Linked DNA regions of Coturnix japonica. The protein of the gene in region 1 interacts with the protein of each later gene in a pairwise test. Links are inferred from orthologs where the notes say so. Each region holds a gene or a part of one and is shown on either strand. Other genes may lie near its edges.

Region 1 (16,211 bases):
CTGTGCTGTGAGCTCCATTCCGAAGCCCCGAGGCGCCGCTCCTTGGGGTCCATCGTGCCGTGGGCTGGCAGGGAGTCCCCCCACCCCGCGCTCTGTCCCGCAGCTGCACCGGGCTGTTCTTACGTGGTTCTGTGCAGTCCTGCTCCTGGAGCCGGCTCGCTTCGTTCTGCTGCGACGGCTTTTGTGTGGCACCGGCACCGGCACCGCCCGGCACGTCCATGTCCGTTCCCTGAGACAGAAACTCGTGTGTTAATCCTGCGCAACGACTCCAAAGCAGCTGCCTTGGAAGAATATCGTATCACACCCAACGTACCAACGTACGCGATCAGCAACGCGGGCAGCGCGCACCGAGGGGATGGATGCGCAGGGAGCTCAGCGGGCGGCGGCTGCTCGGCCCCGCGCTGCTCCCCGCCTCCTCCCGGCGGTACGAGCAGCTCTCCCGGTCCCGCTCGGTGTCGGCCGTTGCTGCGCCGCGTGCGGTCTCCGTGGTGACGCGGGGCGGTGGCGCAGCGCGTGGTGCGGGGAGCACGGGGGGACGCACGGGGCGGGGCTGCGGGGCTGCGGGGCTGCGGGGCTGCGGGGCTGCGGGGCTGCGGGGCTGCGCGGATGTCCCCGCGGCTCCTGCGCTGCTGTTCAGAGCGGAGGATGCTCTTAGGAAGAGCTGCCAGCGATGCGTCGCGTCAATGGAAAAACCCTTCTCGGGCACCGCTCCTGCTGCGGGTACCGCCCGGGCCCCGTGATGAGCCGGGACGGAGGCGGTGGCGGTGGCGGGGCTGTGCCGGGGTGGCCGGTGCTGCCGCGGTGCGTGACCGGGCGGCTGATGGTCCGGACCAGCACCTGCCTGTCTTCGTGGCCTTGGATGGTGCCAGCAGGGAAACCTGGAGCACCTGGGCCGGGTGACAGAAATCCAGTTTAAAGACACTGCGTGTTGTGGGGGTTGGGGTTTGTTCTGGGTTTTATTTTATTTATTTATTTATTTATTTATTTAACATATTTTTTCTTGTTTTGTTGGGTTTGCTTTTTTTAAAATATAACATGAGTTTCTGTTCTATCAGAGGAAAGGAATGGTGGAGGAAACAGCAGTGAAATAATGTTGTATTATCTGATGTGGGTTACGGGCAGTGTTGGAGTAATTAATTCCACGTCGTGAATCCCGCTATAGCGATGACTTGCTTTGGAGTGTTGTTTAACACAGGAAACTGCTAAGACCCAACTCAAATTTTCAGTAAGAAAAAATGTTTTCCACTATAAATGGTACCGAGATATGGGAACATGAATTAAACTCTTGGGAAATCGTGCTTAACAAGCCCTGCTCAAAGCACAGGTGTTAACTCCCATCAGATCCAGGGCCTGAGTTTGATCCTGCTTAAGCAGAAGTGAGTTTGCTCGGCCGATGCTGGAGTTCTGCTAGCACAGTGCAAATGAGATCCAATGTGGCACCTTATGGGAACTGGATACAAAAAGATTAGAGGAATTCCTTGGGAGGGTTTTTCCACAGCTGCTTCCAAATCTTAAGGACAGAGCAAGCCTCCCCTCTCTGATGCTTTCCATCCATTTCTCTTGTGCTTTTCTGTGGACGGCTGCCCAGCACTGCCTGGCATTTGCATGGGGCTTTGTGCTGTAACTCCAGAGATCTCTTCCCTGAACACACGTGGCTGGGAGCAGCACTCCTCCCTGGGTGTTACGTTTATTCACACCAAGTTCCATCTGCCCTTTTACATGTAGTTTTCCACTGCTGCAAGTCTTACCGCCTCCAGGTCATTCAGCTGTGTGTCAGCTCACGGCTCAGTGGCTCTAAATGGCACCTCGCTGCTCAGCCAAGACATGCAGAGATTGTGGTTTTTGTGAGTGACTCCCAGAAAAGGCTCCTGTTGGCAGAGTGGGACCTGCAGGCAGCTCCAGCCCCCAAGGCACGCTGCTTTCAGGGTGGGTCTCCCAGCAGCAGGGCTGGCAGTGGGACCTGGCAGCAGCCGCCACGTGCAGCAGGACAGCATGCAGCACCGTGTTGTTTTTGCAAAATATTTATTACAAAATAAAAGTAAATATGGCAACAGAAGTTAAATAGCAAATGACATGACGCTGGCCATGAAGCTCTTGCTGTATTATTCTAATCTTTTACAGTGACCAAGTACGTCTCCAAGGGAAGCTGCACATGGACAGCCTGAATATATTTCTGTATTATTGGCTCTAGCTATCTGGGAATATTATGCTCTGTGCCCCCGACCAGGAGCTGGTTGTAAGCAGCTGTGCTGTGTGCAGGGCTCCTTAGTGTCCCTCACACAGACCAGAGCCAGCGATTTCCTCTGAGACCTGCTGGGCTTCACCCCAGCACTCCCTCCCCACTCTTTTTTTAAAAAGGCAGCATATGATCCAGCGCCCATCCTTTTAAATAAGGCAGCAGGAAATGGAGTAGCAATGCTGAAGTACCTACTGATATGCCTTGAGCCTCATCACTTATGATAAGCTGCTTGTATTTCCTTCTTTTCCCACCTGCTAAGGACTCCTGAAGTTCACCAGTGAGAGCAAGTCTGTTTTCCTGCTTGAAAGGGCTTCTAGGTGCACTCTAAACAGGAATGCAGTCTTTCACATCTCTCACGCCACATGTCTAATGGAAGCACTCTTTCTTTAAATTAATTACATTTAAAAAGGTGTCTGTGTGTGGGGAAAATCTTCCTAAGGCACCCAAGAATTTAGAAAACCTCTCCTCACTTATATTCCTTACAGGACACACTTGTTCCTCTTCTCTCCAAATTTAAAAACGTTGGCTAGTTAGGAACCTTAACTTACACAACGACATAGCGGAATAGCATCTAAAAAACCCAGAACAGAAAGAAAATCCTCAGTAACGTAAAGCACTGTGCCCAGACCGCCGACGTTTCGCTAACTACACAAATATATCACGGACAGCACGTGGAAATGGTCACATTAATTCCAAGGTTCCCATTGTCAGCAAAAAGGTGTGCTATAGCGGTATCAAAAACAAGGCAGTCACTGTTGCCTATGGCCGCATTCACCCCGTCGTGGATGGAGCGCGGGGTGGCCTCCCAGGTCAGTCTGCGCCGGTTGCCGTTCAGCTCCAGTCTGTAGGCAAAGTTTTCTGCTTGCTTGCGTGTTCCTATCAGCTGTACGATCGCAAAGAACTGCTGGTGACCATCATATTTTTCCTGTTTCTCCAATACTAACATGAAATGAAAGCCAAAGCAAGACTGCATCATAACCCAGTCAACAGCACCAGGAAGATTAATGTCTGTAGCAAGAAAAACGATGTCTTCTCCCTGAAGGGTGGTGATGCTTTTGTGGGCGTGCATGAGGTGGGACATGACAGCTTCCAGGGATCCCTGCCACTTGCAGGAGGCGCCGGGGCACGGGCAGGAGTAGGGCCGATACTCACAGATGTCTTCGTGTTCTGGCTTTTCTGTGTGGTGGAGTGTGAGCGAGCAGCCTGTCGTGGCGTACTGGGAAAAGAGCAAACAGACTCCGTCAGGAACCACCCAGCGTAAGTGCTCACTGCCCCCCCTGCAACCAACCACAACTCTCATTTTCACTGCAACTCTTACTGAGACGCCTCTATTTGGTGCTGGATTCAGAGCTGGGCTTATTTTTGTTTCCTCTTAAAAACAGGTTCTTCCAGTACTTGGCAGCTGTTGGCTTTTGTTTGCTTTTTAAATGCAAGCACTTAGATGAAATGGACCACAAGGCTGAGCTGTAGATCATCTGCTGTTGCAGTTAGACCTGAACAGTCCACATCAGCTGAAGTGGTCCCAGTATGGATTCTTCTCTTTAGAAAGCACACAGGATGCCAGTCTCAGCAAACAGCTACTGCAACAGCATCCTTTAATAAACACAGAGCAGACCTACTTCCATTAAACTCAGACCCACGATCCCAAGTTTTAGCACCACGGTTTCAAAGAGTGGGAAGAGAGATGCTGATTTTTTATGGAGCACAGAGCTCATCACAAGTGAGCACCGCGTGACTGCTCTTAATGTCATCGGGCACCTCCAAAGGTTAATCTGCTTTCAGCAAACAGGGATGCTTTTCCTTTTCAACACCGAGTCGCTGTCTGCACTGAACACGTTTCTTCCTCACTACCTCTAAGGAGAAACGCGTCTTTTGCTCTGAGCAGGAGCACAGCTCCCCCCATCTGCAGACAGCTGGAGAGACTTCTGCAACTCTGCTCATGCGGTCCCGCCATCACAGCCCACGTGTGGCTGCCTACAGGAGGTAGGACGCTTCTTTGGGTCAGGGACTGTGCTCTGAGACCAAAGGTGAGAGAATGTTTGAAGGAACAAGACAATCTCTGGGGAAACACAAGTCTGGACAGACTTTTTGTAAAATGTTCAACTAAGCAAAGTCCAAATTCATCAAAGTTTAACAGCGTATTTTGGGGTTAAATGCAAACACAATTAGTTTCAGCTCAAAGAGTGAAATGCCTGAGATGCAGACGCCACAGTCCTCCTTACTGCAGCCAAATCACCCACACTGCAGCACAGTGCTACAACTGCTGGGACAGAAACGAGACCTTGTGCTTCTACAGAGCTTGCTTTATAAGCCATAACGTGTGCTCTGCTGCTTAATCCTCTGTGACAGGATTTATCCACCTGTGACAGGAGCACAGAGGTGTGCTGCGGTGCAACCAGGGCTCCTCCTGCTGCAGGCAGAAACCCACCATGCAGAGCACGGCTCCCTGCCGCTGGGTTCTATGCTTCCACTCTCACTGTTCTGCTGTTTTCACTCTACATTCATACCCCTGTTGGCAATGTAATCGCTTTGCACTTTGCTGAAGAACCGCTCTCGGTCTGACCCTGTTAGAAAAGCAGTAAGAACATGTAAGCTGCTGGATGGGCAAAAGCAAACGTCTGCGTAGTGTCAGCCTGTATCAGAAAGTGACCAGTGGTGAACACACAAGGAAGAGAGCTGAGGAAATAGCTGTGGTTTTTCCTTTGCTGTGACCCACCTCCTTCTGTTGGCTCCTGAACACACAGCAGCAGTTTTGTTTGGTGAGCAGGAGGTTGTGAACAGATTCACGGAGCGCTCTGGGTTTGTAAGGGACTCTCACAGATCTTCTGGGAACACAGAGCACTTGTTGCCTTCATGCTGTTTGGCACATGTCACCGATATTTACCATATCCTCATTCAAACCAAAGAGCCTGTTGGTCTTTCCCTGCGTGCAGGTCATATGATACCGCCCATCTCATTGACGGCTCTACCTTTTCCACTTCTCCTGTGTCCTTCCTGAGGCAGGAGCGCAGGGTGCAGGCAGTGCTGGTGCACCACAAATGCCGGAGCTGATGTGACTGCTCCGTGCTCTCACATTGCCTTTCTCTCGCTCCCAGCATTCCACTTTTACGAGTACCTTTCGTCACAGCACTACTTGCACCACATTCACCTTCCTAAGAGGAAGCAGGCAGCCCTGCAGCCATCACCACATAATGACTTAGCATTCCGTGTTGTTGCTATGTACGTCACTTCACTCGCGTTACCCTGGACTTCCCCTTACAGGTAATGTGAGTGCCTGAAAGCATTCTGAAAACATTGGCTAAGCTTGAAGGTGCTCAGCAGAGCCAGGTCAGTGAATGAAGGCAGGGTGTATATGGGATTAAAGCACCTTGTCTGAAGCTGCAGGGGAAATCTGCAGCAGAGCCGGGAATGACACGCTGAGTCCATCCCTGCTCTTCCCTCCCAGCTGCACAGCGAAGCAGCGGCGGCCCGAGGCTGCAGTGCCTGTCCCTGCGCCCGGCCGAAGGGGGCAGCGCTCAGTGCGATGCTGCCGGAGCCCTTTCAATGGATACACAACCTCACTACGCCTAGTGGTTCTAAAAGCAAAACATTACGGTTGGATGTGGAGTGCAGAAAGGATTCCACATCTTGCCCTCGGACTAAACATAAAGAGTACAGCGAAATGAATCCTCACTGGATTCCCTTTTCTTCAGAGGGATCAGAACCACAAGAAGGCTCAGAAATGGGGCAGCAGCTCCAGGCAGAGGTGACAAGTTAAAGGATCTCAGCAGGACCCTCCCTAAGGGAGGTGTCCCTAACCCTGCCCCAGCTCTCGGGACGCAGAGCATCGCTGCTCCTATGGAAGCTGCGAAGAGCGAGGTTTCTTTTCCAAAAGATGAAGCCCTGCGTCCCGCCCTGTGTCCGCATTAAGTCAGCTCCGTACCTACGAGCGCATTTACCACTTGCGCTTATTTCAACGATGAGAGAAAACGAGTTGTTTTTGTCACGTCTGAAATAGGAGCAGGGCTGTGAGCAGAAAGGGGGTCCCGTCCAACCCGGCGCCCCGTCCGCTCACCTTGCAGGGGAAGAGCACGGCCGAGGCCACCTTCTCCATGGCCAGGTTCCTGATGCTGGGGGTCAGCGAGCCCCGGCAGGTGGGGCAGAGGCTCAGCTTCTGCCGGCATTGCTTGCAGACCAGGTGCCCGGCCTGGCACTGCAGGATGGGCGGCAGCACATAGTCGAAGCACACGGGGCACTCGAACAGCGACGTCAGCTCGTGGTGCTGCGGAGACACGGGCCCGCCCGGCCCGGAGAGGACGGCGGCGGCCGCGGGCACGGCGGAGGATCCGGCACCGGACGCGGCGATGGTGGCGGCGGCGGGAGCGGGCGCGGCGGCGGCCGGGGCGGGGGCGTGCGGCGGCGGCTGCTTCCCGCAGGGTTTGTTAGAGCCCGGCCCGGCGGACGAAGGGCGGCTCATGGCGCCGCGCTGCCGCCACCATCGGGCCGCGGCTCTCGGGACCCGACGCGCCCGCCCGGAACGCTCCGCTGACGCAAGAGGCGGCCGCGCGCAGCCTCCGGCCCGGCCCCGCCGCAGCGAGCATGCTCCGGGGGACGGGCGGGGCGGGGAGCGGAGCGGGGCGGCGGGGGGAGCGGGGGAGGAGGAGGAGGAGGAGGATGAGGATGAGGAGGAGGAGGAGGCAGGGGAGCGCCGCGCCCACGGCTGCGGTGCCAGGACGGAGCGGGCGAGACTCGGGAGCGGTCAGCGGCGGCCCGAGCACCGTGCCCCGCACCGCCCCGCCCCGCCCGGTACGCTGCGATGCCGGGAGAGAACGCGGCTCCGTCCGCCGGGCCCGTCCGGGGCTGCGGTAACCGAGGGCGCTGCGGTAACCGAGGGCGCTGCGGTAACCGAGGGCGCTGCGCTCCGCGTCCGGCCGCGCTGGGATGAAGGGGCGCCGGTGGCGCTGACGCCCCGCGGGGCTGAGGAAACCCACCGGGCGCCGTTATCCGCGTGGGCTCGGGCCCGATCCCTGCCCGTGCCGGCCCTCGTGAGGACCGCTGAGCCGCCGTGCTGAGCGCGAGCAGCGGCGGAGGAGCGCGGCTCCTCGCGGGGACGGGACGGGGCGTGAGAGCGGAGCGAGCGGGAGGACGGAACGATGAGAGATGGGTCTGATGGAGAATGGAACAGTGCTGCAGCGCTGCTTGGGGGCGGAGGTCGGGTAAAAGAAATGGGGCTGTTTTCATCCCCCCCGTAACAGAATGTTGAAAATAAAACACCGGTTTAAACGCGTTGTGTTTTGGTAACGGAGGAGAAGTGAGGACGGCCCGGGGGTGGGAATGTCCCCGCGTCCCTTTCATTTGCCGGCGGGGCTGAAGAAGGAAGCGGGCAGAGCCGGGGCTGAAGCTGCGCGCTTCCCTGCCCGCTGCCGTGGTTGCTGTCTGTCCCTGCGCCGGGCTGGATGCGGCTCTGGGCGCACAAAGCGCTGCGTGGTGCCGCTGAGCAGCGCAGCGGACGGGGCGGCCATGAACAGGGCTGTGGTTTGAATTCCCCGTCAGCTCATCGGGCACATGACATACAGCATTTTCCCGAGAGTTCTGCTGCTGACTTGACTCCTCTTGCCCTTAAATGAGCAACGCTTTCCTCCGAGGTGTGGCTGCACTTCCCAGAATGGTGCTGTTATCGCTGCTCGGGCGTGCACCATGTGTGACTCATTGGTGGCTGTGCGCCCTGCGAGGAGTTCCACTGAGACACTGCCCGTGCTCTCATTAAAAGGAGGTGCAGTGTTAGTGGAGTTCTGCTTTTTTCTTCCTTGTGAAGCACTGCCGAGCTTTGCAAGATGATGCAGTCCAAGGTACCAGAGAACAATGCTTTGACTGCAGCTCTGGTTTTATTTTTCCTTTGGCACTCAGTAATGTGCAGTGCATTCAGACACACTGAAGGCTGTGCCACGGCAAAGCCAGAACGAGCCATAGTGTGGGGTGAGCTGTGCTGTGCTCTGTCCTCTCTTGAGTTACATGGCCAACATGCTGCTTTTCCTCTGCCATTCTCTCTTGAGAGTCTTTGACATAGGTGTGGAAGTTCTTTGGAGCTCTGAGAATAAAGGGACCCCAAGGTTCTCTCCAAATCCTGGGGTGCAGAGGCCTTTTCTGATCCCCACCCCCAAACAAATGGAGTGTAACAGCGGAGTGGGGCAGACAGAAATCAGCAGTTTTTGGACGTGGTGTGTGTGTGCTTGTCCGGCCTGGGAGAAACCTACATGGGGCTGTGGGGCAGGGGGGTCCCCAGCACAGCTCCGTGTGTGTGTCCTTTTGTTTCAAAGCAGAACGTCTCATACACACATGCTGATGTTCCAACCATGACCTTCTGATCACCGCCCGTTAAGCTTCCCCCAGCCCGTGACGTTATGACAATGTCTCATTTTTACCCATAGAAGAACCGTCCTGGTTTTGTGACCTGTTGTGTGTTCTGCAGTACAGGAAAGAGCAAACACAGCGGCCTTTTCACAAACACACTGGAACGGGTGGGTGTTTATACCAAAAAAACCCGTGGTTTTCTTCTTTTCCTGTACTTTCCACGGAGTAGTTTTAAATACTTTATATGTCTATTTATGTGCTAGAATGTGGCTATTCCACTCTTTTTTGCACTTCAGAGCCTGCCGTTAAATGTACAGCAGTAACATACAGAAACTATCAGGGTGTGCCTGGGTTACAGGCACTCTGCCCAGCAGTTGTGCTTCCAGCAAAGGGGTGCTCTGCAGAGCCACAGCGTGGAGCAAATTACCCTGGATGGGCCGTGGCTGCTGCGGGGGCATCGCTGCCCACCTGGTGCACTTCTCATTTTGTTACAGGCATCGGCTTTTTAATTTGGGTTTAAAAATTGTGCCCTCCATATACAGCCAGGCTCAGAGCAAAAAGGAGAACAACATACAACTATGGTCTGATATGTTTGGTTTTGTATGCTGAGGATCAGGGAGATTGATCCTTGCGGTCTGTAAAGCCATTTTGAGGCTATGAGTGGCAGTAATAAATATCTGATAACGGTCTGCTGCATTCTGACCTCCAAGTCCCACAAACCCAGCACTGAAAGTATGGGCATGGCCCCAAAGCTGGGCATGGCCCTGAAGGTGCTCAGGACCGTGAAGCTGGGCAGTGCTCCCACCACAATCCAAAGCTGCTGGAGATGGGAGGAGGAGGGTGGGCTGCGAGGGGAGCGGTGGAGGAGCTGAGATTCCTTTGCTGCCTGCAGGTGCTGGCAGAGCTCTCTGGAGACCCCGCAAGGCCCGTCAGGGAAACCCTTGTCTCCGTGCCCCTGCCCCTGTCCCTCCCAGGTGCGGTGCTGTAGCTGCTGTGAGGCTCCGATACTCGCCGTCTCTGAGGCTGACTCACACGAGGTGCCGTGCTGTGCTGTGAGTTTCACCCACACATCTGGCTTTGTTTCCTGGGTGCCTCACCAAGGCTCAGGGCCGTTTCTCAGGCAGCCCCCACCCCATCTATCCGTGTGTCCGTCAGCACCTGCTGTGTGGGCTGTGCCGGGTCTGTGCATTTTCTGCAAAGACATTTCCAGGCTAGAAATGAAAATCTGCAGCTGAGCTGTTATGAGTGTGGGGCTCTGTGAGGTGTCAGAGCTGCTGAGCTCTCCTCTCTCTCATCTGTGCTTTTTGTCTGCTTTTTCCAACCAAGTTTAACCATCATCCAGACTGCTGTTATTGCTTCTTATTTTTAAAGCATCTGTAAGTGTGCTGTTAGCTTGCAGAAAGGGCTTCCTTTTCTTTGAGGGGAACTTTTGTCTTAAATTTAGCCTTGCACTGCACAGAGGTTATAAACAGACAGAGATGGGGAGAGGGAGGAAGGGTGAAGCCCCGAGGGAGGCAGTGGGGCTGCTTCCTCAGTCTGGTGCAGCACGTTTCTGTTCCTGTTTCTTTTGAACCCACGTATGCATTCAGTGCAGCTGTGTGTGCAGGACGTGGCATTGGGGCCCAGTGCTGCCAGCTGTGCTCTGACCACTGCTGCTGCACTGACCTGGAACACAGCTCTGAATGGTGTCCTTCGGCACCTTTGTACCTTCATAGGAACTCATTTAGTTGGCACTGCCACACAACATGCCTGGCCATGCAGCACGCCCCTCAGCGCTGGTCAGTCAAACCTGATTGGCATTTATTTCATGTCTCTGTTCGTGCTTTATTAATCCATTGTTTGCCTGAGCACATACGAGTATTCCTCAGGTAGAATAAGTATGCTCTGTTTAGCATGAACACTGACTTCCTTACCTTGACAAGGTGTTCTCAAGTATCAATAAGCTGACCTGCCTTGAAAGCCACCCTGTGCTGCCCTGGGCTGTGGTGTGGTTCCTCCCCACGCATGGCAGCGCTGAGCACCAGACATGACTCACCAGGGCTCTGTCTGTCCTGGTACAGCTGCTACTGCACAGCCCCAGCAGGGACAATGAGATGCTGCTGGGCACTGGCAGAGCTGTGAGCTGAGCAGCAATGTCAGGAGGGGATCAGGGAGCAGTGCAGAGCCCCAGCAGCTCCCGTCTCCTGTCCCAGCACCACTGCAGGCTGGTTCTGACTGCCCTCTTTTTTTCCTTTTCTATTTTTCATCCAGGGGTCTGAATCTCCGGGTATCTGTCAGGAAGGTTTATTGTTCTCTAGACAGCTGTCATTACAGCACACATTTTTGGTATGACTAACAGCTTTTTTGGGCGAGGTCTAAAAAAGGAAGCAGGGAACAGTTTGTAACGTGGTGGTGCGCATGGCCTGCATAGATGCCTGTGGGATGCTGCGGGTCAGGTCTGTGCCTGCTGCGGGCAGCAGGAGGGGGCTGGGTATGGAGGGCTGGGAGCAAACCTTGGTCATTGTAAGTGGTGGAACTGGATGTTCACACTGGGCCAAATGATTTTGATGCACACAGTATTGTCAGCACTGGTCAGCACTTTCATGATAGACTTTTATTTCTTGAACATCTGTGCCTGGGAGGACATGACCCCATTGCCATGCTGTTTCCTTTCCCCTGCCAGCTCCAGCTGAGGGCTGTGGTGGTGCCAGCTGCTGGTGCTGGTGGTGGTGCTGGGGCGGAGGGCAGCTTAGAAGAAGGGCTGGGTGCCATTCCATCTGACAGCTGCCCCTGGCCACTTGGTCCTGATGGCCATCTCTAGCGATGGAACCTTCCTCCCTGGGCTGCTCACGGCCTCACAGCGGCCCTCTTCCCAGTGATGTGAGTGGGTATCTGAAGTGAAACACGGTTCTGAAGGTATGTGGGGCTCAAGGTGAATGCAGGTGCCTGGGGGCACTTTGCTTCTGGGTGGGGAAATACAGATGTGTGCTGTATGTGTGCATCAGTGTGTGGGTGCCCTGCAGCATGGGCTCTGTGTGGGGCTGGACATGCACACATCTGTACATGACACCCGCAGTGCAGTGCTCTGGGCGGGCTGGGCACGCACCTACGGTCAGGTGGGCTGTTCTCGTCTGCCTGTTCTGCCCGTTGTAGAAGTACAGGTGAAAGACGTGCTCCATCTTCCAGTCGGACAGGAGCAGCTGGTTGGTGCTGAAAAGGACACTGTGAGTCCCATTGATGCTGCACAACCAGACGGGGAACTTGGGAGTTTTCAGCATGCTGCCAACCTAGGGGCAGAATGGTCGGTGGGCATTCAGCGCTGCCAGGGCTCCTCAGTGCTCTGCTGTGCCAGGTTTAGGTGCCTTGTGGCTGTTTGCCCTTATTGTATCTGTGTGATGGTCGGGTGTGACAGGTGGTGTGACACAGCAGCCCTGAACAGGGGTCCCGAGCCAGCAGCCCCGGGGGTGCCGTGGCTCCGGGGGGCTCCACGCGCTGCCCCAGGTGCCTGTGCCGGGATGGGGTCAGGGCAGGCGGGTGGATGGATGCGGGGCCGGGTCGGCGGTACTTACCGGGGGCAGGCGGCGCTCGGCCTCCTCCCCGCCCCAGCGCAGGAATCCCACCTCGCTGCGCTGCCCGGGCCGAGCGCTGCCCGACAGGACGAGCAGGAGCGCAGCCTGCGGGAGGAGCCGCTGTCAGCGCCCAGCTGCGCGACCCCCGCACCGCCCGCACAGCCCGCACGCAAAGCCCACCCTCTTTGTCTGACGAACAAGCGGGGTGCTTTCCTAAATCACACGTAGGTAACAGCGATAAGTCTGTTGGCAGCTCGGGCTGATCCTACCTGCGTGCAGACCACGTTTCCAGAGCTGCGTTCTAATAGATGTGGCGTTGTGCCGCCCAGCTCCTCCCGGACCCTGCGCAGCCAAACACGGAGCGCTGCTGTCACACACCGGTGATGGTGGGAGCTGCGCGCACCGCGTGTGAGCAATAAGGAAAGCAGGAAGAAATAGCACAGAATTGTTTCGTTTTCTTTTTTCACTGGTATGACAGAAGTGTCCCAATGCAGCGGCCTCATGCTCTACCTGAGCTCTCCTTCTGCGGTGCAGCTGTGGGAAGCCTCCAGTTACACCCACGTTTAACCTGAGTGCAACTATTTGCAGCAGCACTGCAGTTTTTGCTGAGCTGTGGTCGCAGCGGCACGTGGGTGTGACATGGGCACAGCTCAGCTGCTGATCTGTGTCTTTGCACAGATCGTTTTACATCAGTTTGAGAAAGATTCTCTCAGTTTCCCCTGCTAACACAGTGACGCTTTTGTGATTTTTCTAAATTCAGCATAGCTATGATTCTGTGGGATAGTTCCTGTTCTGTCACAGCGCATTGCTCCTCCTTTGTGTGCAGCTGGAGCTGCCCATGGAGCTGCACACGGAGCTGCATATGAAGCTGCACACAGAGCTGCATGTCTGCTTCTCTCTGCTGCTGCCAGTCGTGTCAGCACGAGCACACAGTGATGCTGTATGACAGCAGCACCTTTCTCCTCAGCACGCAGCCAGCTGCTCCCTGTTAGCCCAGGACAGAGCATTAAAGTAATGGAAGAAAAGATGTAACCAGAGAAAAATGGCAAAGATGATTTTAAAAAGAAAGATACCTTTCCAGCGTCCTGGAGAAGAGCAAACTGTATAAAAACAGGATCAGTCCATGATTTCCTTCATCTCTGAACTGGAGAAATGAAAGAAGTAATCAGGGAAGGAATTACAGTGGCTATGTGATGCTTAATTAGAGCAAATCCTCTGCTTAACTGCAATGCCAGGTGAACACAGTGAGATCAGTGAATGGGGTGTTACTCTGGGAAGACTTTGCTACAGTTTTGCTGATTAAAATCAGATGAAATAAAAGAAACTTCCAGTTCTTGGCCAACCTATTTTAGTCTGTTTTTCCAGGTTTTGGCTAAAGGTACAAGAAACCTGTTTGAACCAAGTACAAGCTGCTGCCAATTTGCCATGAAAACAAACCAAAACAAAATTAAAAGAAGATGATATTCCATACATACACAGCCAATATGGTCAAAGATAAACTCCTGAGCTGCTGCTTTCTCGGGGAACTCAAACAGGTGGATCTGTAGGGCAGGAGTGTGAGGTGAGGAACCACAGAGCAGATGGAACATCCAGAAGTGAAATTTTTCAGCTCAGTGTTTCCAAATGAAAGGCAAACACAGGAACCCACACTGACCTTCCTGAACAGCAGAGTTCAGTTTTATGCAAGCAGTTAACAGATAGAAGTTAAGGAAAGGCTTTAAGTCAACTTGTTCCTTCTTCTAACAGAAGGAAGACCAGAGTTAAACAAATGAGCTCTACAAAGAAGTCAGGCCTTCAAAAGGAGGCAGGAACACCTGCCGAGCCCCACCTGGACATGGCTCCGATGTTCTTAGGTTATGTGGTGCACTGTAAGGTAGGAGCAGGCTAATGAGATGTTTCTGGTCTGTAGGCAGTTCAGACCAGATGTCTTTTAAGAAGCCGTATTTGCAGGAAGCATCTCCATACCCACCTGCTCAGTGAAGCTGTTAGCTTTGGAGCCCGCAGGAGGGGAGCAGTGTGTGGCTGCAGTGAGGATGCAGATCGTGGCTCTCCGACCGTCCCCCGCTGCCCACAGGCTGTCTGCCAGCGCTGCAGCCAGGGCCTCTCCTTGCTCCTTCTGGCTGATTTTGCACAGTCTGCAGCGCAGGGCAGAGTAGAGCACAGCAGACAGGTGTGGGCAGGGGCAGCAGGGGTCTGTGTCCCTGTGTCCCTGTGCCCATGTCCCCATCACCTGCCCAGCCCCATACCACCAACAGTTGTAGGTATGTCCTTGAGGATGCTGCGAGTCCCCATGCCCGAAGGTGGAGCCTGATACTGGGCAGCAACTGTCACACCAGAGGTTGCACTGAGGCAGCAAGCCTCACTCCTACAGCAACAAGGAGGGAGCCAGGCACGTCATTGCTGCAGGTGCATATTTCCATCTGCATCTGCAAACCTGGTTATGTTCTGTCTGATACAACTTAGAGGCTGGTGCTGTTATTTTAGTTCAAACAATGCAAGGAAATGGTTTGTATATTTCCCCAGGAAGGCTCAGCTTACCTCTCCAGGTGACTGTGTTCCGTGTTCCTTGTGAAGAGCAGGTATTTAATGATGTTTGCTTGTACAGCCATCACGATGGCTCTCGTTCCTCCCTGGAAACAAAGCAAGCAGCTGGTGGTGTCTGTGAGCCCACCTGGCATGTGGTGCAGCCCTGCAAAGCACAGCTCTGAGCTGTGCTGCTGGCTGCCCCATGGGGAGCTGTTCTGCATTCCCCTGGTAATTCAGAATGGCCAATGACTTCTGAGGTAAATGGGAAAATAAATTGAAAAATATCTGATGTGCCTAAAAAATAGGAAATCTCTGTGCAAGAAGCACCCGCAGCAGCCCTGGTGCTGTGCTGTGTGGGGCTGCATCCCTGGGGGGTGGCCGCAACACCCAGAGTGGTGTCTGCACCCGTTTGAGTTCCATGTGGAGCAGTGAGGGGCAGGAGATGCACAAAGAGGGGTGGGCAGTGCAGGTCTGTGCCGCTCGGCTGCTGCTGCTGCAAGCACACAATGCCGTGGTGTTTTCTGCTCACGCCTGCACCGCTACTGCAACAGAGCAGCCATTCCACCCAAAGCTGCTCCACCATCTGCACCGGAGCCCATCCATCCTGCTGAGCACTGCGAGGAGCGTGGCTGTGGGTCGCACTGCAGCGTTACCTTCTCAGCCTCCAGAGCATAGGCCAGATCAGAGCGCGGCTCACGGAACCTGAAGTGTGCTCGTGCCCAGTCCTGGCTGAAGGTGCATGAATCCTTCCCAAACAGCAGCGTCTGCAGAGCCTGTGGGTAGAGAGCAGCTGTGGCCACAGATGGGCGCCTGCACCTTGGTGCGCACATCATGGTCCTGCCTGCACATTGCCTGTGCTGTGTCCTGCAGGCTGTGCTCGGCCATGGGCTGGGTATGGGGAGCTGTGGGGATGGGGAGCTGTGGCTCTGACCCTGAGCAGGGGCTTTTTGCCTCTTTATGAGATAGGACTTCCCTGACTGTGGTCTGCACCACAGCTCCTGCCAGGTTTCACCTCCAGTTTCACACCTTGAGCTTTTCATTGTGTTTGTGCCGCAGTGATGGGTTGTGTCAGAGCTCACAGACATGAGGCTGGGATCCTCTGCCATTGCCTGTGGAACACTGCTCAGGTTCTGGGGCCCAGACAAGCACTGACAGTCTCAGAACCGTTTGGTATTTGGCAGCAGAGAAGTGCTCTGCTGCTGCTGGGCCTCCTGCCCCTCACAGCCGGTCCCTAGGAAAGCACTGGGAGGCAGGATCGTGCCTGGCAGCAACCAGAGTTATGAGAATATGTTACAGCCACGCTCTGTGGGAGTCTCATACACAAGTAATGATGGTAACTCTGTAAGCAACAGCAGCAGCCTCACAAGCTGCCAGCTCCAGGTCAGGTTCCATGCTGCCCACGCTGCTCACCATTGCTGTATCCATGGGGATGGGCCGCCCTGTGTGCTCTGCAGGTGGCACACGTGGCTCCAGGGCTCCTCTGGTGCCCACTGCTCTGTGCCCACAGCCTGCAGGTCCCTGTGGGGAGACAGACAGAGCCGGAGCTGGGGGCTCCCTGCTCCAGGATC
Region 2 (15,502 bases), on another chromosome or scaffold:
GCAGCTGACGTTGAGGGCGGTGGCGGCGGCGCTGGCGTTGGCGCTGGCGTTACGGCACAGCTCCAGGTGGAAGAACTCTGCGCAGCGCTCCGTGTTCCACGCGTGGCCGCAGGTGGCCCAGGGCAGCTTGTCGGTCAGCGAGTGCACCAGGTAGAAGAGCCCCCACACCAGGATCATGATGTAGTAGGAGTTACAGAAGAAGACGATCACCATGGAGGCCAAGCCCAGACCTGGAACGTGGCGGTGGGGTTGGCACGGGGCTCTGTGTGCCCACAGTGATCCAGGGGGAGAGGATGTGCCACGATGGCGGGGACGGGATGTGCAGGTGTGGGATGATGGGCAAAGGGATGGCGTGGGATCAGCCATGGGCACAGTGGGGACTCGTGGCTCTCGGGGACGGTAACGGGGAGCTGCAGGGCAGGGCAGGGAGCTGCCATCCTTGGCTGCGGGACACGGGGCGTGGACAGGGAGCTGCGGGGGCCCCGCGCAGGGCACGGAGCAGGGGGGAGGACGGCGAATACCTTTAAAGAGCGGAGCGATATTCCACGCCGCGATGCCCCCCTGCTTCATGAACTGCCCCAGGGCCACCTCCAGGAAGAAGACGGGGATGCCGCCCACGAAGACGATGAGCAGATAGGGGATGAGGAAGACGCCTGGGGGGGGGGACGCGGCCGTTCAGGGTACGGCTCAGCCGTGCCGTCCCCCCCTCGCCGGTCCCCCCCGCGCCGCCCGCCGGGCGCAGCGAATGGCGAGCGTCACTCGGCGCACTCCCCCTCGCCGCGCGCCGATGTAGGTCAGGGCGGGCAGGTGGCGGACCCCCACCACCCCCCCCCACACACACACACACCCCGCGCCGGGGCTCACCTCCTCCATTGCGGTAGCACAGGTAGGGGAAGCGCCAGACGTTGCCCAGCCCCACGGCGTAGCCCACGCAGGACATGATGAAGTCCATCTGCCGGGTCCATGTCTCCCGCTCCGGGGCGGCCGTTCTGGGGGGGCCGGGGGCTCCCACCAGCGGCGCCGTCACCGTCCGCTCCTCTCCCGCCGCGGGGGGCTCGGTGCCCTCTGCCGGGACACGGACGGGAACTGGGGGGGTGGGGGGGCAGCGCCGCGTCACCAGCGCTCACGGGTGGGGAGGAAGGGGGACGCGGGGGGGGGGGGTCCCCATGTCCCGCGCGATCCCCCCCCGCGCCCCTCGCTCCGCGCGTGGGGGCGTGACGTCAGATGTCAGCCCGCCGCGTGACGTCACAATGCGAGCGGTGACTCACCCCGCGCGGGACCGGAGGGGCGCGCCGCGGTCGCGCGTCGGCCGTGCAGGCCCCCCCCCAACCACCCCCCCCAACGCGCACCGCATCCCTCCCCGGCCCGGTTCAGCCCCGCTCTTACCGGAGCCCGTCGGGGCGGCGGCGTCGCGGCTCGGGGCGGCGGGAGGCTGCGGGGCGGCCGTGTCGGCGGGGACGGGGGGCATGGCGCGGGGGGCCGGGGACCGGGGGCGGCTCGGGGGCGGCTCCGTGCCCGGGGGGAGCTCAGAAGCAATCCACGAAGCACTTGAAGGTGAGTCGGAAGAACCTCATTGAGGGCGGCGGGGCGCGGCGGGGCGGGCCGGGCCGGGCGGGCGGCTCAGAGCCGGGCTGCGGGGCCGGCGCCGCGCGGCCGCTCCGGGGCTCTCTGCGCCGCGGCACCGGGCGGCGGCGGAGGCAGAGCCGGGCCGCGCCGCCCCTCGAGAGCCATTGGCCGCGCCGCCCGCCCGCGGCTTGCCGGGACTTGCAGTCCGCCCCACCGGCACCGGGACGCGGGCACCGGGCAACGGGACGCAGCGGGTGACGGGGCGAACACGGGGTGAACGCGGGGCGCTTGGGGCGGCAGGGCGCCCCGGGGGACGTAAATCGATACGAAATTGAAGGAGGAAAAGACCTCTGAGATCACCTAATCTGATTGCGATTGCAGTTCAACCTTCAGCCCACCCCCACCGCGCCTACCGAGCAACGTCCCCGGGCGCCACATCCACCGCGGTGCTCGGGGCCGTAGGGCACAGCGGGAGACACCTGGGTGCACGCGGGGACACGGGGCACGAGGGCACATCGGGTGTTCCCCGACAGCAGCGCCACGATGCACCGGCACGGCGGGTGACAGCGCCGGGATGATGCTGCATGGCAACGGGGGCTGTAGGGAACACAGGGGGCTGTAGGGGACACTGGGGCTGTAGGGAACACCGGGGCTGTAGGGGACACCGGGGGCTGTAGGGGACACTGGGGCTGTAGGCAGCGCGGTGGACACGCAGTACCCGGGTCGCAGCCCGGGGCGGGCAGCAGGCAGCAGAGACGAGCGGAGTTCAGCAAGTTTAATGAGAGCAGGACAAACCCCGACCCGTGCCCGCCCCCCACCCGTCCCGGTGCCCAGCCCGGCCCGCAGCCCCATGGCGGGTGCCCGCGCTGCTCTAATCGACTTCTTCCATGCTGCTGTAGGACGGCGCCGGGCGCTCGGCGGGGCTGGAGAAGCGCTCGGGGAGACCTTCCGCAGCCAGCGGCGGGGCTCCTTCGGGGGCCAGGCCGGATCCGAACGGCACCGCAGTCAGTCCCTGCAAGCAGAAGGCGGCCGTGAGACAGTGCACGACGCTGCATACCGCTCTACTCCCACTCCGCTCCCGGCAAAGGCCCCGGCTGGAACGCAACGAGCCCGGAGCGGCCCCGCACACGGCCCCGACCTGCCCGAGCGCTGCAGCCGGGCTGCGGCACGCTCAGCATCGCCGCTACGCGCCGTCCCGTCCCGCACCGCCGCCATGGGCCGCTGCGTTCGGTCCGGGTCCGCGGGGCGGGAGCGGCAGCACGGGACGGAACCGTCACCTGCGGTTGAGGCAGGTGCAGGGAGCGGTGCGTGGCCTCGAGCCCGGGGCGGCAGCGCCAGGCGGAGCAGAGGTCACCCCGCAGGCGCCGGGCGCTGACTCAGCCCCACGAGGGCAGCGCCGTGGGCGCGTGGGGGCCCCAGACCGCAGACAATGAGGCGACTGTTCCAGGGCAGGAACGTCCCGACGGCGGGGAGCACCGGGCTGGGACCCGTGTGCAGGAATAAGGGCCGGGCAGCACAGCTGTACGACGAGGACAGGGATGGGGGGAGGTGGGGGGACTCCAGGGGCTGCACTGCCCCGCTCCAGCCTCCCAGCGCTGACGGGGCCCCGACCGTTCCCACTGAGCATCCTTCCTGACACACACAAGGGCACTGCCGGCAGGACGGCAGCGGAGACGGAAAAGGAAGTCACAGGGCTCTGAAGTCACCTCTCAAACCCAAACACTCCCGAGCAGCCCGAGCCTCGCTCAGCCAAGGGCAACACGTCTCAATGTCACGCACCGCTGCAGCTACAGGCCTTGCCCCAGCCAGGCAGTGCTGTGAGCTGCCAGGCCCGCCGGGCACCCAGCACGTGCCACGGCTGTTGCTACACACCTGGGGCCCCTCGGCACAATCAGAGCTCAGCCTGCACCCCGCTGAGCACAGGGCAGCACCTCAGTGCCGGCTGTGCTGTGAGACCAGCTCAGGGGCAGGGCAGGGACACTCCATCCAGCTGCCCTTTGCACTGGAGCAGGCTCGGCTGCAGAGCCTCTGGCTGCTGCCACGGTCCTGTCACACAGAAGGTGCTGCAGCTCTTTGGAAAACCTGCCTTTATTGGCACACGCCGCAACGTGCAGGAGAGCGACGCTGCCAGCACAACCTCCCACGGGCCTCCTGCAGCCCAGCTCCTTCCTGCTGCTCCCCGAGCCCATGCCAGTCCCCCAGTGAGGTGCTGCCTCGTGCTCCCCCAGACCCATCCCATTGTAAATTGGGACTTCCAGATGCAGACAGGGACAGTTCAGGGAGTGCTGTGTGTGCCCCAGCACAGTCTGCCTGGGTGCTGCTCTTCCATGCCCCAGGGTGAGGAGCAGTGCTGAGGCCAAGGCCCCCGACTGAGCAAGGAAGTGCAAAGCACACGGTGACAAGTCATCCAGTCCCCGCACAGGAGATGATGCTGGCCTAGAGGGATACAGCTTCTGCCGGCTCTTTAGAATGTGAGGCTCCCAAAGCAGGGAGCAGTGGGACCAGCGATCGTGTCAGGGCATCCTGCTCTCACAACAGGCTCCGGGCAGGGCTCTGCTTGTTGCCAGGATGTTCCCAGTGGCAGCGGCACCGTCCTTTCCTGAGCAGCATGTACCACTGGGGCCAGCCCCGATCCAAGCAGGCAGCCAGGGCGAGGGCGGGCTGAGGGGATGCTGGTTCTGGGCTGTGCCCTGGCAACGCTGGGGGCCGGCCACGCAGCCCTGCCAGCTGGCATAGGGGATGCCAGAGCAGACAGACAGGAGCCGACAGCCCCAAGCTTCCCTCCGAGAGCATTGGTGCCCGCAGCAGGCGTGTCCTTCCCACAGGGTTCTGTCCTGCTGCCCGCAGGGTTCTGTCGGGCCACCTGGCAGCTCTGACGTCTTCGTGGTGCAGCATTCTGGCACGGCGTGTGCCCCGGCAGCCCTGCTCTGTTTGCCCACACCTATCTCCAGCGGGTTTGGTAGATGAGCGGGTAGAACACATTCAGGAAGAGAGCCACGATTGCGGCCGTGGTGGCCAGGATGAAGTATTTGATGCAGCCTTCGTCTGGGTGTTGGGGGGTACCCGGACTCCTCTTCTGGCCACGGGGCCTCCAGGAGTTTCTTGCAGGCCTTTGGGGAGCCTCGAGCTGCAGCTCTTGTTCTTCAGCCTCCAGTTCCTGCCAGATCAGAGAAGCCTGCGATGTGGAAACCTGCGTCAGCACTTGGAGAACACAACTGGCAACACCCCTCGCCATCCCCCGGGGCAGGCGGCCGCCTGCGAGCCCAGTCCCGTGCCCCACCAGCCCACCTCCCCATGCAGCACGGTCGCACCCGCCCCCACAGCTCCTCAGGCTGCTCTGGTGGGTGCAGGTGATGCAACAGGAGCAGTGTCTTTGCAGGAGCCAGCGGCTGGATCCCTCTGCAGTCGATTCCGTGGCACTGACGGATCCATGCGGGTGAGGGGGCGGGTAGCAGCCCATCACAGCTCAAGTCTGGTGATCCCAATGCGATTGCTCAGATGATGCCAATTCAGAGGCAGCTTGCATGGCAGGAGAAGGAGGCACGGTCGCAGCACAACCAGTCCCAGCTCTCCTCTGGTGGGTTGGGATCCTTTGAGAGCCAATCACAGCTCAGCTTCCAAGAGGATTATCTGCAGGCAGCCGGTCACAGCCCAGCCCTTCCCAGTGCTGGTGATCACGCAGGGCAGCCAATCAGGACACCGGGTCTCTGGAGGATGCAGGTGATTCCAGGCACTTGGAGACCACTCAGCCCAGTGAGATCCAACACATCCCATCACTGTGCAGGACACAGTGCTGCTGAGGTCGCAATGAGCCCCCAGGGATGCAGCGAGGCCAAGTGCTGCAGGGCACACAGCGGTCCCCAGCACGGCAGGGATCCCACAGCCAGCACAGGACAAGTGGAGCAGCCTTCCTGTGGCTGCTCAGCACACACACCCTTGTGACAGGAGCAGCACCGTCCCCCAGCAGAGAAGGCAGAGCCAGGACACCCAGCCCACGTGAGCCAGAACAGCTTGGATAGCCAACCACAACGTCCCTATGGGGCACACGTGTTCAGCTGTGCCACAGCCAAGCACTGTCCTCAGATCCAACGAGGCCAGCACAGAGCGGACCCAGGGGAGCCTGGCAGGCAGGTGATTTGCTACACCACCAGCCCAGGCCTTTCTTTCTGACACTTCTGCAAAGATCAGTCCAACCATGCCCTACTGATGAGTGCTGAAAGCACTCTTTCTGTCAGCGCACCCTCCTCACCCTTCCTGCAGCACAGTGTGCTCTGGGCAGTTTCCCATCAGCATCCCGCAGCTCACAGGCCTCTGGCTCAGTACTTGCATTCACCTTTTCTGCAACTAGAGCAGCCCCATCCTGGGCCAGAGCAGAAAACATCCCCACCCTGTCCCCAGGAGGCCGTGCCTCCTGCCACAGCCAGCTCCCATTCCACCGTTCTCAGCCTTCCTCAGTGCAGAGCCCAGCAGGGCACAGCCCCCTCCTGCCCCTGCAGCTCTGTGCCCTCCCACCAGCACTCCCAGCACAGCGGCTGGAACCAGCTCTCCCACCCTTTAGCGACAAGACTGTTCCGAGCTCACAGCCAGAACAGCGCAAGGCAGACCCCAAAGCCCAGCTGGTGCACGCTCTTTGGTCTCAAAGAGAGGTGGCACAGCACCGCAGCGGTGCTAGGCTCCACGGGGTCCAGCAGGTGGGCACATGCATATTTCAGGGCTCTGTGGCTCCAATACTGGAAGGGACACAAGCTCTCACCTGACTGGCAGCAGCTTCAGCAGAGGGGGTGCGCTCGGCTCGGTGGTCTGGGGGGTGCCCTGGCAGAGGTCTCTCCACAGGAGAGTTCCTCCGGCGGTAGAAGAGGACATATGCGTATCTGGTTACCACCTGGCTCTCGTCCACAGTGGTGACTGTGCTGTCATCGAAGAGCCGCCAGCCTGAGAGGAAAGAAGGGTTAAGCAAGGAGACCGTCCACAGCTGCAGGGGAGGGGAGGCCGGCGGATCCTCACCCACGTCACTGCGCTGGCTGTTCTTGTCGTTGGGCAGGCGGGCATATGCCGTGTAGTGCCCGCCAATCATGCCTCCATAGTGATTGATTACAGCATACAGGTCATACATAGGCAGCTGTTGCTCACCCTTCCGGCCGATGCAGAATTTGCTTAGGTCCAGGCTCCTGAGGACAGACACAGGGCTGGTCAGGGATCAGCCGGGCAGCACAAGCAGTACTATCCCCAGCAATCCATCCCCTGAGCTCTCACCGGACAGGGAAGTCAACCATATCATTGATCTTGTCCCTCCAAATAAAGCTGCGGAAGGAGAAGCGCTTGAGCTGGATGATGAGGACGTTGGGCAGGCGCCACAGCATCAACTGCTTGGAGGCCTCGCGGTGCTGTTTGCACTTGGGGCAGTACCTGGGAAAAGTATGTGTTCATTACCAGCATGTAGAGAGCCCTGGGTTTCTGAGCCCAGCCCAGCCCTAAGCTCCCCCGACGTATGGATGTGGCAGAGGAGACAGGAGGTCTCGGCCTCCCTGCCAGAGGCAGGACAGCACAGCCCCGCAGAGTGCTGGCACTGCTCCCTGCTGGCTTCTGGCCCCTTTCCCCAGCACTCCTGGCTGCCGGGAGAAATGTCAGGCAGGACCAGGCAGCTCCCGGGAAACCCCCGCTGCTGCCTGCGCCTGCAGGCTGGAACCCGCCACGTCGCCTTCCTCACCACGCTTCCTCTGGGGCCAGGACTTCAGGCTTGGTGAAGAGATTGAGGCACTGCTCCAGGGTGAAGTGGCCAGCTCGGGCTGCTTCACTGGCTGAGCTCGGATCCTCCACGCACTCCAGATCCTTGGACTCCACCAATACAAATTCCTTGAGGCGCTCATTGTTCTTCCACACCAGGGCAAGGGAACAGTCATCCGTCAGCTCCAAGGGGGTGTCACCTGCAAAGGGGCACACACCTCAGCCAGCTGACCCCCAAGCCCACCCGGACTAGACTAGGAGCAGTCTTGCCCAGCCCAGTTTTAACACAGCACAGCCAAGAAGGTGCGAGTGGTCCTGCCACACACCCCCACTGCCGAAGCTAGGTTCTCCGCCCCAAAGGGAATAAAAACAGCATCTATTCAGATAGGAGGTGATCCAGCCACACAGATCTCTGCTCCTCTTTGAGTGTGGGAGGTCGAAAGGAACCGGTTTATTTGCTCAGGGGAGTAGGAGCTTGAGAAGAGCTTCCAAGGAACAGGCACGAGCTCTGCACGGTGCAGCCCTGCCCTCCCACACCAGACACAGCTTTTGCTGCACAGCCTGGGGCTGATGGCATACCTGGGCTTGCTCTGGCCCTAGGAGCCTCTTACACCCTGGCCAGATAGATCCACTCTCTGCTAAACGCCACGAGGGATGAAACTGGATCTCCCCAGGGCTCCAGGCTCACCTTTATCTTCCAGCTTATACTCTTTGTTGGCAGCATCGATCTTGTTGATGTAGAACTGCGTGGCACGGGCGCTCAGCGAGTCTGGAGTGTGCTGGTACCCAGGGATGGCAGCTGTGGATAGGCAGGGACATATCTTTAGTGGCACTGCCTGTTTGCCCTGCGTAGGGGCCAAGAATTTGCAGTGCCCCCACCCCCATCTCACATGCTACGGCCTTGCAGGGACACAACCACGTGCCCAGTGTCCTTGACTATTTTTAGCAGACGCCTGCCCCTGGCAAGCTGCGCTCCTCTGCCTGCCTTGCCCCTTCACTGCACATTGCTGCCATCCTGAGACAAGTGTCTGGAAACGTGACAGCTGGGCGCCCAAGTGCAAGAGGCTGCTCCTGTGCAGCTGAGTCAGAGCGAGGGAAACATTGCGCTCACAGCCCCGAAGGGCTCAGCACTGGGCTCTGCCCTCCCACGAGACTCAAGGCTTCTGCCAACCCCTGCCTCCCCACCCCTCCAGCAGCCCAGACTCTTTCCAAGTCAGGTCTTTGCTCTGTTACACAGGCCCTGCCAGGGCAGGGCAGAGCGTGGGCTGTTAGGCATTTCAGGTGGGGCTGCACTTCTAAAACATGGCTCCCAGAGCTCCCCATTTATCCAAAGGGGTCTCCAGACCGAGCCGGGTGGGGAAAACAGACACTGTGGGCGAGAGGTGATGCCAACGAGGGAAAACTGCTCCCTGCCTTGCTGGGGGCTGCCTGGGCTCCTGGCACAGACAGGGTTAGCACCGCAGCACCTCCTACCTTCTGGTTTGAGGGCTCTCTCGTAGGAGGGCTCTTTCTCGCAACAGCTGTCACCCTGCGAATCCATGTGCTCAGAGAAGCCCGAATCCAAGCTCAGCAGGGAACTCCTGGCAGCCAGGACCTTGCTCCGAACAGTGCCAGTGTCACTAATCTCCGGGTGCAGCTCAGGCACAGCTGGTGAGAGGGGAGGCTCCTGCAGGAGGCCAGAAGCCCTGTCCCCGTCCCCCAGCTCAGGAGCAGAGGTGGCGGCGGCACAGCTGCCTTTGGCCAGGGGCTCCAGCTTGTCTAGGAGCAGAGGCTGAAGCCCCTGCTCTGGTGACATCCGTCCCAGCTGGAAAGGAGGCTGAAACACGCTGACCGAGTACCTGAGCAAGAATTGGACAGTTACAGCAGGCCAGGTACAGGGCTGGGCTCAGCTCAGCTCCTGGCTGTGCTTGCTGCTGTGACAGAAGCACCTCCCTTCCCTGCACCCTCACCTTGCGTAGCCCTCCAGCAGCTGCGCCAGGCGGGCGTAAGTGAGGCGGGATTCCGGCACACTGATGAGGAAGGGGAAACCGATGTTCTCAGGGCGGCACAAAGCCTTGTGGTCTGGCCAGTGTGTCTTCTGACACGTCCTGTAACACATAGAGCCCCAGTGAACCCAGTGCCTGCAAACAAACAGGCAAGACCTCAGCAGGAGTTTGGTGGTGCTCAAGAGGTGTGTCTGGGACAAGAGGAGTGCTGCAAGCCAGACTGGCTCCTTCCCAAAGGCCAAGCCCATCCCACCTCCTCCCAGTGGGCTGAGTGCTCCCGCTCAACCCTTCACAGCTGGAGACCCTCCCTCCCTGTGAGGCACCAAGCCAACTCACACGTTGCAGTAACCGACTCGATAGCACCTCGTGCAGCGCCTAAGCTTCTCTTCCTCTGACAGCTGCTTCTTCTGGCAGGCTGCACACTTGGCGACAGGGACACTAGGTACCTGTGGGCGCTGCAGGAGAAAGAACCCATTGGGCATGGCAAGGCACCTGGGCAGGATAAGGTAGCCTTGTCAAACCCCTGTGCTTCCTGCCCATGGTAGAAGTCATTCACCAGGATGGGCAGCCCTTTTCTGCAGGCAGAGTGCTACCAGGGCCATGTGCTGGGCACACATCAGCCAGTATGCCAGACTTGTGCAAGCTAGCACTGCTCTCCCCATCCCGCTCAGCCTCCTGGCAGTCTCAATCCCTGCTGCTTACCTGCTGGACCTGCAGCTCCACAACCCGCTCTTTGGCCAGCTCTGTGGACAGCACCTCGAAGCAGAGCAGCAGGTCTGTGGGAGAGACTGTGTCCAGAGACTGGGACGGCAAGAACATGCGTTGGAAGCGATTCTTGATTACCTGCCGGGAAAGCAGTGGAACAGGACTGTGTGAGGGCTGCCTTGTGCTCAGAGGGCTGTCCAACTTTTCCTCTCCTGAGGAAGCCACATAGTGAGCTGTGGAAGCAGTAGCATCACAGTGATGGTGTGCTCTGCCCACCATCATGACCTGGTATCTCTGCCTGCTGCGCTGCAGAGGCCCAGCTCACTTGAGCAGGATTCTCCCTGGCAGCACCTCGTGTGTGACACTACTACCCACGGACAAAACTCACCCCATGGACAAGAGGCTGCTAGTGGCAATGTGTTCAGCACAACTGTGGGACCCAGGGGCACCCACACAAGCAGCCCACAGCTTGGTGGTCAGTTTTAGCATTCTCACCTCTGCTAGGCGCAGGTTGTCTGGTTTCACATGCACACTGTGGGCCACCGAGTCGAGTACTTCCATGGCACTGGAGTTTTCCTTGCTGATACTCACGAGGAACTGCCACAGTGTAAGTGCCACATTAGTAATGCCACATTAAGGCATGCAGGCCCTGGCTTAACACAAGGTTCACAGCCCACTTGCACAGGACCAGCTGCCTATGGCACCTCCAAGAGCCCCCTCAGGCTACCTCCCCAAAGTAATTAGTGTCCTTTACCTTGATGGGTTTCTTGTGCGGCTCCTTTGCAAAGTAGTAGACAGTCAGCACCTTCTGCTTTTGCGGGAGGGGGACTGGGAGGTACAGGAAGGGATCAAAGGTGATGGACACCTGCAGACGAGAGAGCCCACTCAATATTGGGAATTGTTTATGTCTGAGATCAGCAAGGCAACAGTCTCAACAGACTGGAGATCCAGGGGCACAGCCAACAGGGCTGCTCTACCTTGGAACAGACTGGGCACACCAACTTGGATTTGTACTGGCCCTGGAATAGGTCCACAATGAAGGAATCATTCCTCATCTTGTGTCGCTGCCAGGCCTCCTCAGCTACCACCTGCGGAGAGAAAGGGCTCAGCTAAATCACATGGGCCAGGGCTGCTCTGTAGCAGCCAGTGCTCACAATAGCCTTGGAGACAGACATCCTCACCTCATCAGGCCTCCCGTCTGAGTCAACAGTTTCTGTGTAGGGTTTGTTCTGGATGCGATTGAGATCTTCATGCAGGCCATCAAGCAGAAAGGCCATAAACTCTTGAGCATCGTGCTGGGCATAGCCAGTGAACTGGCTGGCCTTGCTGGCCACAATTGCCTGTGGGGAGCACAGTCTTCAGCCCACCAGCAACACTGCTTGCCCCATACTCAAAGCCTGGCTGCACCCAAAGCAGCAGAGCAGCACAGAGAAATGCTGAGACCCACAGCTGAGGACAATGCAGCAGCTCCCACAGAACACTGGTACCTACCTTCAATTTAGAGGGCTGAAAAGCATGGTGTGTGCCTTTCCACAGTGCTCTCAGTAGCATAGCAAAGCCAATGGCCAAGCGTCCCCCTGTCCCAAGGGGGTTGTTGTAGTTGATTTCAGACTCAAAGGATCGATCTGTAAGAGATGAAAGAGAGTGAGGGTGGCTGCTGGCTGCACAGAGTGGCAGGGCTTTGCTGAGCTCCAGGCATGTGCTCACCATGGAAGTAGTCACGCAGCTCCCGCGTGTTGGACAGTGACTGGATGACACTGTTCATGAAGCAGGTATTGCCCAGATTCACCAGCCCCGTGAAGCCAGGCAGGCACACCTTCTTCTTCTCATCTTCATCCTCATCATCTTCCACACTCTCAGTGCTCACTGGGCTGTGTGTCATCGGTGGCACCATACAAGTTGGTTTGGGCTGCCAAAGCAAAACTAAGTGTGATGGTGCTGTGTACTCGGGGGTCTCTGGAAACATCCAAGCCACACCTCATACAGGGCTGGGCTGAAGCCATCATCCACCAGAACAACTGCTGTCCCCAGTTCTGCCAGCTATGCCAACTCCTCCCCCAGGAACAGTCTGCCAGACCCCACAGCAGCACCAAAGGAGGTGAAGCCCAACCAGAGGGACAAGTTGATCCCCACTTCCCCCCACAGCCAGGTCAAACACAGTATAGCTCCACTCACCGAGGGGATGTGCGGCTCTTGCTTCACTGCCACGTGCTCTTGGGCTGTACGGGCTGCCACACCATCCAGACTCCCATCCTCGACACGTGGCTTCTCTTTCTCACTGGTTCGGGCCTCCTCTTTGCTGGACAGGGGGTGCTGGTTACTGCCTGGAGGGGTCTTATCCAGAGGGGTAGGGCCTGTAGGCATGGCAACCTTTGCACCACCCACTGCACCTTAAAAAGGGGGAAGAGTGGGCCTGTGGTTAGCAGCACCGTGCACTGCCCACGGTGGGGCTGAGCTGTTTGCTCAGCATCTTGCCTACTCCCACCTTCCAGTGCAGGAAGGTGAGCAGCAGTGCCTTTCCTGAGTGACCGGATTGCCTGCCCCACAACCCTCCCTCCCCATGATCCCATTCCAGAAGACCCAGTGCCTTCCAGACACTGCAGGTGGCAAGGAAGGCACTAGGTACAAGCAGGCAGTCAAGACAGAAAGAAGGCAGGGTGCAGACCTCGTGTGGCTGGAGCCTCCAGCCCTCCCCAGCGCTGGCTATGGCGTTTCTTCAAGCAGACATCAATGCGAGATGCTGTGAAGTTGTATGTGCACTGGTCTGGCTCAATAAGGTTCCTGCAAAACACACAGAAATTGAGGATCATTCCAGCCTCCCCAGCAGCCTCAGAGATGCTGAAGTCTGCAAGGCAGGGCCACAGTTTCCCAACTGGCATCGACCCTGAGGGGGGGCTCCACAAAGCAGTACAAATGCCCTCAAGTCTAGCCACACTGAGCACACAGGGGACCTGCCTTCTGGGAGATCCATTCTGCCTGGTTCATATGCCCAATCTAGTGGGATGTCTCAGCTAAAGCACACGCAGCCTGGTCTGGCTCCACCCCCAAGAGCTCTAGATCAGGCTGGGGAAAGACTGCAGATAATGGAGTTTTATTCTCTGCAACCATCCCAGGACTGTGGTGTTAGAACAGTATGGTGTGATGGAGACACTCAGGTGCAGAAATCAGTATGTCCTGGAACTGGCTCCTGCTCTCAGCTTCCTCATCTCAGTATAAGCAGGCAGGATGGAAGCCATACCTGAGCTTCACCTGCCACCGGAACACTGTGTGGGGCCCACAGCCAGGATGGAGGCGAAGGAAGTTTATGTCACTGCAAAGAAATAAGGAACAAGTGAGAAAAGGTGAATAAAGTAGCCTGGCAACAGCCAAAAGCTTCGCATCAGCTTGATTCCATTCAAAAGTGCATTTGTACCTTGTCTGGAACACCAGTGTGAAGTCTTGCTCCCGGAAGAAAACCTTGGAAGTCTCCTTATGAATCTCCTTCACATAAACGTGCACCACCACCAGGTCATTGCCCTTCTCATATGAGTCATACTTGACAAAGGTCAGGCTCACAAGAGGCTCTGGCTCTGAGCAAGGAAAGACATGAGCAGAGATCACCTTCACTGCACTCCAAGGCAGCACTGCAGGTTGGCCAAGGAGAGGTCCTGAGCAGAGGAACTTTCCCAGCCATGCCAGTCTATAGATACTGACCCCTGGGCCACTCACCATCAGCTGCTGCTTCCAGAGCCACATCGTCCTTGGACCAGTCCCTCTTCTCTCCATCTCTGCCTAGGGGACGTGTGGCTGATGGGATGGCTTTAGAGCTCTCTCCCAAGACTGGTGCACTCTCCCGGCCCCGTGAGGCTTCAACAGGGCTGCCTGGCTGCAGGACTCTTTTCTCTACACAGGTGGCAACACAGTGGGGGAACACCTCTGTGGTAGCAGCAAGTGGTGGCATCTCCACAGGAACAGTCTCCTTGGCCATAATCACAGCCTTTCAAGACAGAATGATAGTGAAAAAGAGATAATTTGACCCCTTGTGCCACCAGTTCAACACTTCTCCACAGCCTGCTGCTGTCAGCCAAGAAGGGACAGTCCCACATAACCCACACACCCCTGTCTTAGCACCCTTAGCACTACAGCCTCAGCCCAGCAACTGAAGGCTCCTTGCACCTGTAGCATTCATTCCCAAGTCCTAGCTTATATTTCACCCACCCTTTCTCCCAGCTAGGCCCACACCAGCCTTCAGCACCACCAAGGGTCCAGGAACCCATCTCATTCCATAGCAACATACCTTCTCTAGTGGTGGTGCGAGGTCAGTCAGGGCTGTAGGCCCATCACCCTGGCTGGCTCTGCCATTGCGACGGCTGCCTGACCTCCCGCCATGCCCTTTGCCGGGCTCCACGCTCCCGGTGACTCTGGTATTTGGCTCCTCTTCAGTTGGAGCCACTTTGAGGTATACTGCCCGCTTGGCGCTGGGGCCACTCTGTGTCCCTGGGCTGGCTGGGCTTTTCCCTCCCAGGGCCTCGCTTCTTCCCTGAGCACGCTTGGGGTTGGAGGGCTCTCTGCGGGTTCTTGGAAGCTCAGTGCTTTCAGTCCGTGGTTCTTCAGGGGCCAGTTCTGCAGATGCAGCCTTCTCCTTCCCGTTCTCCCAGCACATGGCCCCTTTGCCCAGCTCTTTGGATCCATCTTTCTTTCTCTTCTGTGAAAAGTAGTGCAGCACAGTGGGAACACAGCCAGGAAGCAGTACCTGTCTTGCTCTCTACCAGCCCCTCACCCTTACTCCCCCTTCCCGGGGCACGCCAAGGTTCTGTTCCAGAACCCAGAGGCTGTGGCAGGAAGGACAGGGACATGACAACATGCCCTCCCTTGGCTCAATGCCCTCATGCAGCCTGGGGATGCAAGATGTGTCCTAAGATGCTCCCTGGGTCGGGGCAGCTCTAGAGCAGGGAGTGAAACCCTCACCCAACTCTGCCAGGCTCCATACAGTTGCCTGAAAGGTAGAGGTCCCCTCGCCCTCACCAGAAGCGAAGACCAGGTGTGGAGCGGGATCTTCTTCTGAAGCACAAGCTGCAGAAAATTTCCCTTTTTGCACTGTATCTTGCTGCAGGAGCCCTCAATCTCCTCATAGAACTGACAGCTCCACTGGCGCCCATCTGCAAGAAAAGGGGGGTGGAACCTCAGGCAGTGCAGCAGGCATCAATATACTCTACCCATAGCCCTCCCTCACCTGCCTCAGGGGCCAGGAGAGCTCTTGTCTGAGAGCCAAAGAGGCTGCAGGCAGGCTGCCACCACATCCCACGAACTTTCAGGATGATGCCAGCTTCATTGAGTTTGCTTTGTACATCTGGCTGGCCTCCTTCCCAGAGGGAAGGTGCTGGGTCTCCCTGCCCTCAGGGGCATGGACACTTCTGCAAGGGATACCCAGCACCGACTCAATCATCCCAAAGGGCAGAGCAGTGATGCATCCAGCACAGCAGTGGGCACCTGTTCACTTGGCAGGGAAAAGCCAGCTCCCACCCTCCCCAGCCATACACCCT

What was found.
Region 2: the proteins of SIAH2 (region 1) and USP19 interact in a two-hybrid assay, tested with the Homo sapiens proteins (2 studies listed by BioGRID). The link is inferred for Coturnix japonica from reciprocal best matches to the Homo sapiens genes SIAH2 and USP19.

What each region holds. Positions count from the first base shown.
Region 1 is NC_029524.1:20,980,954-20,997,164, reverse strand, and holds SIAH2 (E3 ubiquitin-protein ligase SIAH2), read right to left. Parts: upstream 6,805-16,211; 5' UTR 6,696-6,804; coding exon 6,294-6,695; intron 3,456-6,293; coding exon 2,898-3,455; 3' UTR 2,004-2,897; downstream 1-2,003. Other genes in the region: ERICH6 (glutamate-rich protein 6), read right to left, coding at 124-220. UniProt on the Homo sapiens protein: E3 ubiquitin-protein ligase that mediates ubiquitination and subsequent proteasomal degradation of target proteins.
Region 2 is NC_029527.1:9,096,173-9,111,674, reverse strand, and holds the end of USP19 (ubiquitin carboxyl-terminal hydrolase 19), read right to left. Parts: intron 15,119-15,502; coding exon 14,985-15,118; intron 14,665-14,984; coding exon 14,257-14,664; intron 13,957-14,256; coding exon 13,689-13,956; intron 13,550-13,688; coding exon 13,393-13,549; intron 13,291-13,392; coding exon 13,219-13,290; intron 12,762-13,218; coding exon 12,646-12,761; intron 12,371-12,645; coding exon 12,156-12,370; intron 11,890-12,155; coding exon 11,688-11,889; intron 11,606-11,687; coding exon 11,472-11,605; intron 11,321-11,471; coding exon 11,162-11,320; intron 11,069-11,161; coding exon 10,958-11,068; intron 10,846-10,957; coding exon 10,735-10,845; intron 10,578-10,734; coding exon 10,476-10,577; intron 10,119-10,475; coding exon 9,978-10,118; intron 9,731-9,977; coding exon 9,612-9,730; intron 9,378-9,611; coding exon 9,240-9,377; intron 9,129-9,239; coding exon 8,764-9,128; intron 8,090-8,763; coding exon 7,979-8,089; intron 7,491-7,978; coding exon 7,274-7,490; intron 6,973-7,273; coding exon 6,820-6,972; and 7 more. Other genes in the region: SLC6A8 (sodium- and chloride-dependent creatine transporter 1), read right to left, coding at 1-230, 522-570; sodium- and chloride-dependent creatine transporter 1-like, read right to left, coding at 688-767, 865-1,065, 1,387-1,468. UniProt on the Homo sapiens protein: Deubiquitinating enzyme that regulates the degradation of various proteins by removing ubiquitin moieties, thereby preventing their proteasomal degradation. Stabilizes RNF123, which promotes CDKN1B degradation and contributes to cell proliferation.